Daphnia pulex: one gene and its partner. The protein of the gene in region 1 binds, or shares a complex with, the protein of each later gene. Links are inferred from orthologs where the notes say so. Each region holds a gene or a part of one and is shown on either strand. Other genes may lie near its edges.

Evidence for each region.
Region 2: the proteins of glycosylphosphatidylinositol anchor attachment 1 protein-like (region 1) and phosphatidylinositol glycan anchor biosynthesis class U protein-like are in contact, whole or in part, in a cryo-EM structure (PDB 8IMX), measured with the Homo sapiens proteins. The link is inferred for Daphnia pulex from reciprocal best matches to the Homo sapiens genes GPAA1 and PIGU. Residues at the interface, in NP_003792.1 of Homo sapiens: Gln245, Leu310, Arg311, Arg313, Phe358, Leu359, Ile371, Ala389, Leu390, Trp393, His397, Leu500, Ile504, Leu508, Cys512, Leu515, Thr516; in NP_536724.1 of Homo sapiens: Tyr349, Ile355, Phe356, Cys360, Ile363, Val364, Leu367, Leu368, Val371, Leu372, Leu375, Ile377, Tyr378, Ala379, Gly380, Ser381, Phe386.

What each region holds. Positions count from the first base shown.
Region 1 is NC_060021.1:10,694,506-10,698,935, reverse strand, and holds glycosylphosphatidylinositol anchor attachment 1 protein-like, read right to left. Parts: upstream 3,051-4,430; 5' UTR 2,857-3,050; coding exon 2,712-2,856; intron 2,658-2,711; coding exon 2,563-2,657; intron 2,483-2,562; coding exon 2,360-2,482; intron 2,296-2,359; coding exon 2,136-2,295; intron 2,013-2,135; coding exon 1,861-2,012; intron 1,796-1,860; coding exon 1,643-1,795; intron 1,581-1,642; coding exon 1,462-1,580; intron 1,381-1,461; coding exon 1,303-1,380; intron 1,228-1,302; coding exon 1,124-1,227; intron 1,064-1,123; coding exon 769-1,063; intron 705-768; coding exon 540-704; intron 478-539; coding exon 201-477; 3' UTR 129-200; downstream 1-128. Other genes in the region: 1-phosphatidylinositol 4,5-bisphosphate phosphodiesterase delta-4-like, read right to left, coding at 3,649-3,746, 3,818-3,967, 4,035-4,186, 4,241-4,385. UniProt on the Homo sapiens protein: Component of the glycosylphosphatidylinositol-anchor (GPI-anchor) transamidase (GPI-T) complex that catalyzes the formation of the linkage between a proprotein and a GPI-anchor and participates in GPI anchored protein biosynthesis. Binds GPI-anchor.
Region 2 is NC_060023.1:1,130,942-1,134,670, forward strand, and holds phosphatidylinositol glycan anchor biosynthesis class U protein-like, read right to left. Parts: upstream 2,451-3,729; 5' UTR 2,352-2,450; coding exon 2,225-2,351; intron 2,152-2,224; coding exon 1,952-2,151; intron 1,891-1,951; coding exon 1,460-1,890; intron 1,388-1,459; coding exon 1,119-1,387; intron 1,054-1,118; coding exon 911-1,053; intron 842-910; coding exon 731-841; 3' UTR 674-730; downstream 1-673. Other genes in the region: uncharacterized protein LOC124197055, read left to right, coding at 1-28, 95-463. UniProt on the Homo sapiens protein: Component of the glycosylphosphatidylinositol-anchor (GPI-anchor) transamidase (GPI-T) complex that catalyzes the formation of the linkage between a proprotein and a GPI-anchor and participates in GPI anchored protein biosynthesis.

The DNA of each region.
Region 1 (4,430 bases):
GATATGATATCCACTATCAGTAATGAGTAGGCCTAATCATTGTTTCATTACCTCATTTATTTTATATCTATATGTCTGCAATTCTGCATTTACTAAATTTGCGGCAAACTGTACTATAAACACGTGAATGCGTGATAAAAAACAATGAAAATGTAATCGGTTGACTTACGGAATTTACAACAAAGGGCGACAAAATTTTATTAACGTGATAAATTACCCAAATTTGCCCAGGCAAGTGACCATAGCGGCAAGTAAAGAGTTGATACAGCAAAGAAAAGCCAATTTCCATAAAACGTTCCATCAACAACCGCGTAAATCAGAGCACGCTGGGCAGCTGTATGTGTTTTACCGAAAAATTTCCAAGGTTGATTTATTTCCTCCGGAAACACTCTGTAAGTATCAATAAGTGTAGCGATAAAGAGCAGCGATAGAGGATGTACTAACATTAGCACAGCGTAGCGGCAATATTTCAAGAACCTAATACCAATGAAAAAATTGCTATTAAGGTTTTCAAGAATTTAATACAAACGAATGCAAACCTTTGGGAAACTGGTTTGGCAATGGAAAATACCGGACTGATTATAAAACAAGTGAGCACGGCTAGGGAAATATTGCCCATCGCAACTGCGTACATCAGAGTAGATGTTAGTAAAAGAATTGCGCATTGAACACAATTGGCAGATAATCGTTGGATGGACAGCATTCTAAATGTGAAAAGAAAGTGTTTGTTTTAAATAAGAACAATTTCAATAAATAAAATCATAATACCTGACGCCAACAGTTGAAGTTAAAATGCAATGAATTACGCTGAGCATACAAAATCCTCCAAAAACAACGTCTTCCGTGCTTAGCCCCAATGCCATAGAACGATTAAATCTTGTAAGTTTTTCGGGCGCTGAGTAAAAAAGCAAACCACAAATCGTACTATACAACACAAACGAGCCTAAATTAAGGAAATTCCAATTTTGTTTTTCATTTGGATTCTCTTTTCGTGATATATAAAGTGCAACAGCTTGTAATAACATCGAGCCAATCATAAGCCCAAATGGCGGCATATATACACCTAAAAATAAAAAAAAGGGTAATAGTTACGGAAATAGAATGTTGGAAAATATATGACTACCAATAGAAACATAGCGATTGGTAGCAGGTAATAGATAAAAGAAAAAAGATTGGTGAAATCTTTCTTGCAGGTTGTTCAAACTTCTCATGATACCCTCGATTGCTCTAGCAAAAATTTAAATGATAACATTAGTGCACATCACTCGAATGGCTAGCTACGTTCAGTCATTTTCAAATTACCTTCCCATCAACAGAAAATTTGATCCGTGCCACCCTCTCTTATACGAGCCAGCCACTGTTAAGGCTTCAATTCCAAACCTATGGAGACAAATATCAAGGCAACAAAAAATTTGTCACTATTTGTTTTCATGGTAGAACAAACAAGTGGACATCACAGACCGGTGGAAGAGGCCATGGTTTCCAGTGGGCACTCCAGTTGCTTGAGAGGCCATTAAAGTCAGTAATGACGAAGCGGAATATATCCAACCTTCCATGCTAAGAGGATCCGGATAGTCCTCCTATAAAAGGACGATTATTTAGATTTAGCTACAAGATGACGACAATTAATACAAAAATTCACCCTCTCTTTCAAAGTGGTTGTAAATCTCTCCTGCTGGAACAGTCTATGCACAAGGTTAACGAGATCTAAATTTGGAAGTTGCCCATTCAACCCTTCCATTCGTACATCGATATGAGATATCTTTTCGTATGGGATTTCTAAATTGATTGCAGCCTAATATGCATATTTGTTCAATGGATTAGCTGGTTTACTCGAAAACAATATATACGATGACGCACTTGTATGGCACCAGCACGGGCATCCAACTGCCCGAAATCAATTGAATTTGAACCAGACGATGTATAGTGATAAGCTTCTAACCAAGCTTCCATACCAAGTTGTTCATGCTCGGTTACAACAAAAATAACATCTCGAGCCCAGTATGAGGCCGCTAAAAAAGAATTTACGTTGATTAGTCCTACCCAATATTGTAATGTAAAAAATGATAATAAATAAAGAAAAAAAAGAGAACAGAATACGGTTTTCAATAGACAACGCTAATACTCATAATTACCCCGAAAAGATGCTGCCAGTGAAAGCATAACGGCAATTCCAGCGTTGGTTCCCGTCAGTACAGAATCAGGAGGTCGGTAAGGAACAGACATTACAAGGCATTCTGTACTAGCCCCTCTTGAAGCTCTTAAAATGCCATAAACATTTTTGCCAGAATAAACCTAAGAAAAAGAATGTAATTGTAACTAAATTTTGAAAAAAATAATAAATATTTTCCAATAAAACCTCATTTTCATCTAATGGATATTTGACAGAAAAGTTGTGGGTGAATGTATCTAATCCTAATTGTTTGAACTGAGCAGCAATGAATGCATGGGGCATTCCATTTGGGTATCTTTCAGCTTCTGCCTACACAAGACAAAAACAATTTCATTGTTAAAATTCATGAAATGTATGTAGGAATACATTTTGAAATAACTTAGGCTTACTTTAATGGCAGCTACATACTGACGGGCAAGGAAATCTTCCTTAAAATTTGAATGTACAAGACCAGGTAATAATGCATTTTCAGAGAAATAAGTTCCTATCATGAAACAATGTATAATAAACAAAATATAAAATTTTATGAGGAATTTACCGGCGTTGAACTGGCGATAGGCAAGACAAACAAACCACACAATGCTTCCAATGTAAAACAAGCTGGACAGCACCTTCTGCTTACCAACAAATTTTAACAATAAAGGAGACAATTGTTTATCGGATGGATTACTTAATAAACCCATCCTAATGTGATATATGCAAAACTACTGATGGAGCACTGCAAAAATTGTATTCAAAACAACTGCTACAACCGGTGACAGTGAGGTATGAGTAGTGTCAACTGAATACAGCAGACGATATTGGACGTCAAAATATGAAAATATTTTCTCCATGTTTTGAACGGTTGCAGCCTGCAACTTGCAGGGTTGAAAAAAAAACGTTTTGGAAGTTATGTTAGAAAAATATTAAAATAAGCAAGATGCTAGTGTTTTTTTTACTACTATTATTATATTTAAGCTTAATAAATAATAGGTGTATTTGTTCATTTTAAAAAATTCTAGCGTGAGCCGCTCGTTTGAGCGGTGAAACGTAATGCATAACAAATAAAAAAAGAAATGGCTGGATAATGTTCTTTCAGAAGCTTCGCAAACCAATATTGGTTATTTGTTTCAAGTAACCATTCATTTTGTGGTAAATATTAAGAGTATATTTGAAACACAGATATTTCTGACTGTTCTTTGTAACTCAGAGATCCTCCCCCCCCCCCCATCTTCATAAATTTGATTCAAATATTCATAGACATGTATTTATACTTTTTTTAACAAAAAAAGGACAGTTTTAGACATAAGGGTAAGCATATGATTTGACATAGCATCAGCAGTCAATCCGCAAAAAGCTTTTCAGTAATTAAAAGGACCTTTGTTATTATTGAGTCTGACTGGATTGGATAGTTTTTATTACAATTTTGTTTTTTATGGTCGCCTACCGCACGGTATCGAAGAACCAAGTACGGAAGAAGTGCTAGCAGAATCCTACTATGCAGATGGCAAATCACGAATTGATACATGAAGGAATATAGTTGCGTTCGGTATTGGATTTCCTTCTCGACACAATAGGCAAATATGTCCATAACCTTACACAAAACGAGAACTTGGATGTTAACTTTCTCAATGATAGATACACATATATTTCTTCTATACACACCTGATTTTAAACTTTTAACTGGGACTACCCTTACACCAACTAAATCATCGTCCGACATAGGATCTTTGTCCCTAACCGAAATAACAAGAAGGTCTAATTCAGGCTGTCGTAATCGAAATTCGGTCGTCTCTTTCCAACAGGGATTGAAGCCTGGGTATAAATAGAGATAAATATAAAATGCAAATTAAAGCGTAACTTAAAATTGGTCAAAACATACCATTATCGTCTACGTGCTTTGTTTTGAATTTAAAGCGGTCAGCCGGATGACCCATGATTTGAACCGTAACATAGGGATCAATGACTTTCTTTTCAAATTTCGGGAGATTTTGTCCACTTATAATTTGAAGTCGAACAACCTTGCTACCCGATCTATAAAATAGTAATTTCTTTACGTGATCATTTCTAATCAAAATCAAAACTCACAATCCAGCTTCCGCTTCCGGAATTTCTCCCATTTTTGGCTTACGCAAGACGGCTGGCTTAAGCACATATCCACACTTTCCGTTAACTTGAAAAAATGCCTCGTTGATAACTTTATAGATTCCACTTGTTTGGTAGTTCAAAGCCACTAGACAATTCAATTTACTGATTGATAGTATTTCTTTTTTCTTTT
Region 2 (3,729 bases), on another chromosome or scaffold:
ATCTTACAAGGAATGCTCCATATTTATGGTAAATTGATTAAATTTAAATAAGCTGCTTTTGTTTCTGTCATTATTTATTTACTTTTCCCTTTAGAATAAAAGTGGAGAATCCTTTACTGCTGGAAAATATGAAGACTTGGAAACGCTACAAGATCAGGACGGATTTGCTGGTTTATTGCCTATGGGGTGGCAGGATGGAAGAACACAGCGTTTCATTGCCGACCAATCAACTCTGGACGAGTCTGTAGGTGCCCTACGTATGCGTCATCGCGGAAGGACGATTGGAGGCGTCTACGTTTGCTCAGAGTTCTCCGTCATATGCCGTGATCATCCCAACAACAGCCAGATGACCACCGTCTTCGGTTACGTGCATAGCGGCATTGAAATATGTCAGCAAATCAGTCGGCTGAACCTCGAAGAAAACCCCGTCACCATACACGCGTGCGGAGAATGGTTTCCGTAGACCAGACATAAAATCGTAGTCCTACCGACAAATTCTCAACTTCTTAAATTCCAATTTTTTTACTACTAGACGACGAAAACATACACCGATGATGTTTTGGAAATACTCTCCATAATAAATACGGAGAGGACAATTATGATTCGGTGGATGTGTCGTCGATGGAGAGGAGTGAGAAATAATTACTTCGGTAGTAGAATTACATTAGTTAAATTAGCATAGAGAAAAGTGGCTGTATATGATGACAATAATAATACACAATCATGGCCATCATTCCAAGACTAGCATTCCTTCTTTACCGTTGATTTTTAAGTCGATACCGTGTTTGAGATGGTAGTCATATTTTGCTTGGGCGAACAGTACATCCGTCAGAAGAAAAATCTGCAATAACAGTTGAATGTAAAATGAATGAATTCGAATGGCGTGACAAGTTTTACTTTAAATTTATACCTGAGCTGTAGCAAATGCCAGCGTAGTGGCAAAGAAGAAATTCGCATTTGCAGAACCAGTGTAGATCCACAGGTACCAAAGGATGGGACTTAGGACCGAAGTCACCAAGAAAATGCAGCCAACGATGAAAGAGTGCCTAAAATCTGCAGGAATGTTTTGCTGTTAAAACAGGATTTCAATTAGTAATGGTAAAGCGGTATTAACTTACAAGGGACTAGGTGATTCCAAAGGGGTAAGAGGGCTAAGTAGAATCCGACGTCACCTATCGAAGGGTAGGATTTGAAAATGGCCATGATGGCGCACAGAGTGAAACTCAGCAAAGGAACGTTATCATCGAATCGTATAGCAAGTGGAATGACGTAGATGAAAGGGTTGAGTTGGAATACGTAAGTAAAGAATAGATAAAAATGGTCAAACATCTCGGTGAAAAAGTACCAGAAGAGACCGATATTGGGTGTCAAATCAGGCACCTTCAAGCTGTAAAAAAGAAAAGAATGACAAGAGAATATTTATAAAATCTTAAATAACATAAAATATAAAACAACTTACATGCAACCATAAGTAGATTCGATGAACCGCCAGCTTCCCGTTGAATGGTAAGAGAACCACAGCAATAATGCTGTAAAGAATGCAAAGCTGAAGATGGTCAGAAAGACTGACTTGAACAATTGCTTCTCCTTGGCTGTTGCGATGGCAATGGGTACCACGAGCATAACTGGATAAAAACTCTGGTGGGAGGCAAAGGCAAGACAGCAAGTTGAGAGCAATCTGGACTTCTTGGCCATTGCCAGTAGTGTCAAGGATAGGATCAAATTTGCAAAGACTGTGGTGGTCATCGCTACACAGCTACACACTATGTACGGGTTCAACAGGTAAGCAGCTGTGACATACTGGGGAACTTTAGCAACTTCTTCTTTCTTCAGCGTAATCTTTTTGGCATCTTTATGGTAAGTTTTCTTTTTGTTCTGCTGATCTTTAACCTGAATTGAATTATGAATTAATTAATCATATGAGTAGAAAGGAAAACAAATCGGTACTTACAATATCTTGGAAAAATATCCTGGTTGCTTCAGTCAACACAAATGCAGTAAGGACATCACACAAAATGAATACTGCTTGCAGGACATTGAAATTCAGTTTCAATAAATAAGTATAGAAAACGAGCCCCGTTGGAGTTTCATGGAACACATCTCCTTCGTAAGGAGATTGAGCCCTCTGATGGAGATAAGCACCTTCAATCACTAGAAAATAAACAAAATGAGTTGAAAGGAAAAGGAGAGGTGCAATCGACGTTTCTGTAGCTTTTCTTCTTACCTCGCTTCCACGAATTCAGTGGAGTCGAAATTTCCACTCTATCCGACAGCGAGTCGTGAAATCCCGAATTGAACAACCATGCACGTATTATTACACCTAAAGCATTACTTTTCCATGAACTGGGCATTTCCAAAGACCGCCGGGTGCGTCACTTTAGAACGCTGGTGTTGCTGGATGTTGACAGAATCACAAGCAGACGACGTTACATCTTGAAAATTTGTGTTATGCCAATTGATTTGCAGTTGCTCTATGCGGTATTTGGTCGATTTTAGTGTTTCATTGAATTTGAACGTGAATCTGATTATATATCTTTCTTTATGCCAATGTGCAATGAGTGATCTTATTATCTAAATTGTTAATACCTAATAGTAATATAATAAACAATTCTCGAAAGATTTTTTAACATTTTTATTTTAGGTCATTCACATTCAGCGCTATCCGAAATCAAAGTTCCAGATAAACATTAATAAATCTGATCGGTCAATGGACTCAATGCCCTTGAACTTGCTCGAGCTAAAATTACTATCATGCCTATTGCAGGGATGGTTTAAAATTTATCTCAGCTCGTGTCGTTGATCCTTTAACTTTCAAAAGTGAACTTGCACAAAGGATGAAAAGTTGAAAGGTCCACCACTCAAACAGGTAAAGTAAATAGGCGTTTTTACAACACACAGAGGCCATGGTATAAAACGCGAAACACTTGTTCACATTTCAACATTCATCCAACTACATTCTTCCTCTTCAGTCAACTAGCCAAAGTGTTAAAAAAACAAGGAAAATGTTGCAAAACTCCATGCTTGTAAGTACTTAACACAATGACCCTTAAGAATTCAAATTGAATTTTTGTATTTTGTTTTATAACATTTTTTTAATGTTTGAATTTTGTTATCCCAGCGATTCGCCTTTGTGTTGGTCTTATTGTGCGTCCTATCCTCTTACTCGGCGATGGCGTGTGATTGCAATTATCACAGCGGCGGTTGCTCGATTAGCAAGCCTGCTTCTTCGGGAAATGCCTGCAAATGCTCCTACAAAGGATTTTACACTTGCAGTGGAAGCCAAACAGGTTGCCGGGATCCCACATCGCCTTACTGCAAAAATCCCGATACCTCTATTCAATCCTGTTTCCTGGGTGGCGGCGATTGCGGCGGTTACTAATAATTGGCGCTCTCATCAACCGAGTCAATTGTCATTTTGTGTGCCAATTATTTATGAGAAATGCCAATTTGGAACGCATTGCAATAGTTTCCAATCAATTTTATGTTATGGGAAAAATACACACGCTTTAAAATCAACTTTGATTCTTTATTTAGTATAAAAATAACTGTATGGACATAATAACAGAAATTGTATAGTCTGAAATGTCACTTGGTTTTAATTCAACTGATCAAATAAGCCATTAAATACCAGTTCAGCTTCCCAGAGTAAACACAAGACTTGGCATCCCGTTTTCACAAGGCCAGCTCGCGTTCTTATGTATGTACATATTACTTGAAACAAAACAACAT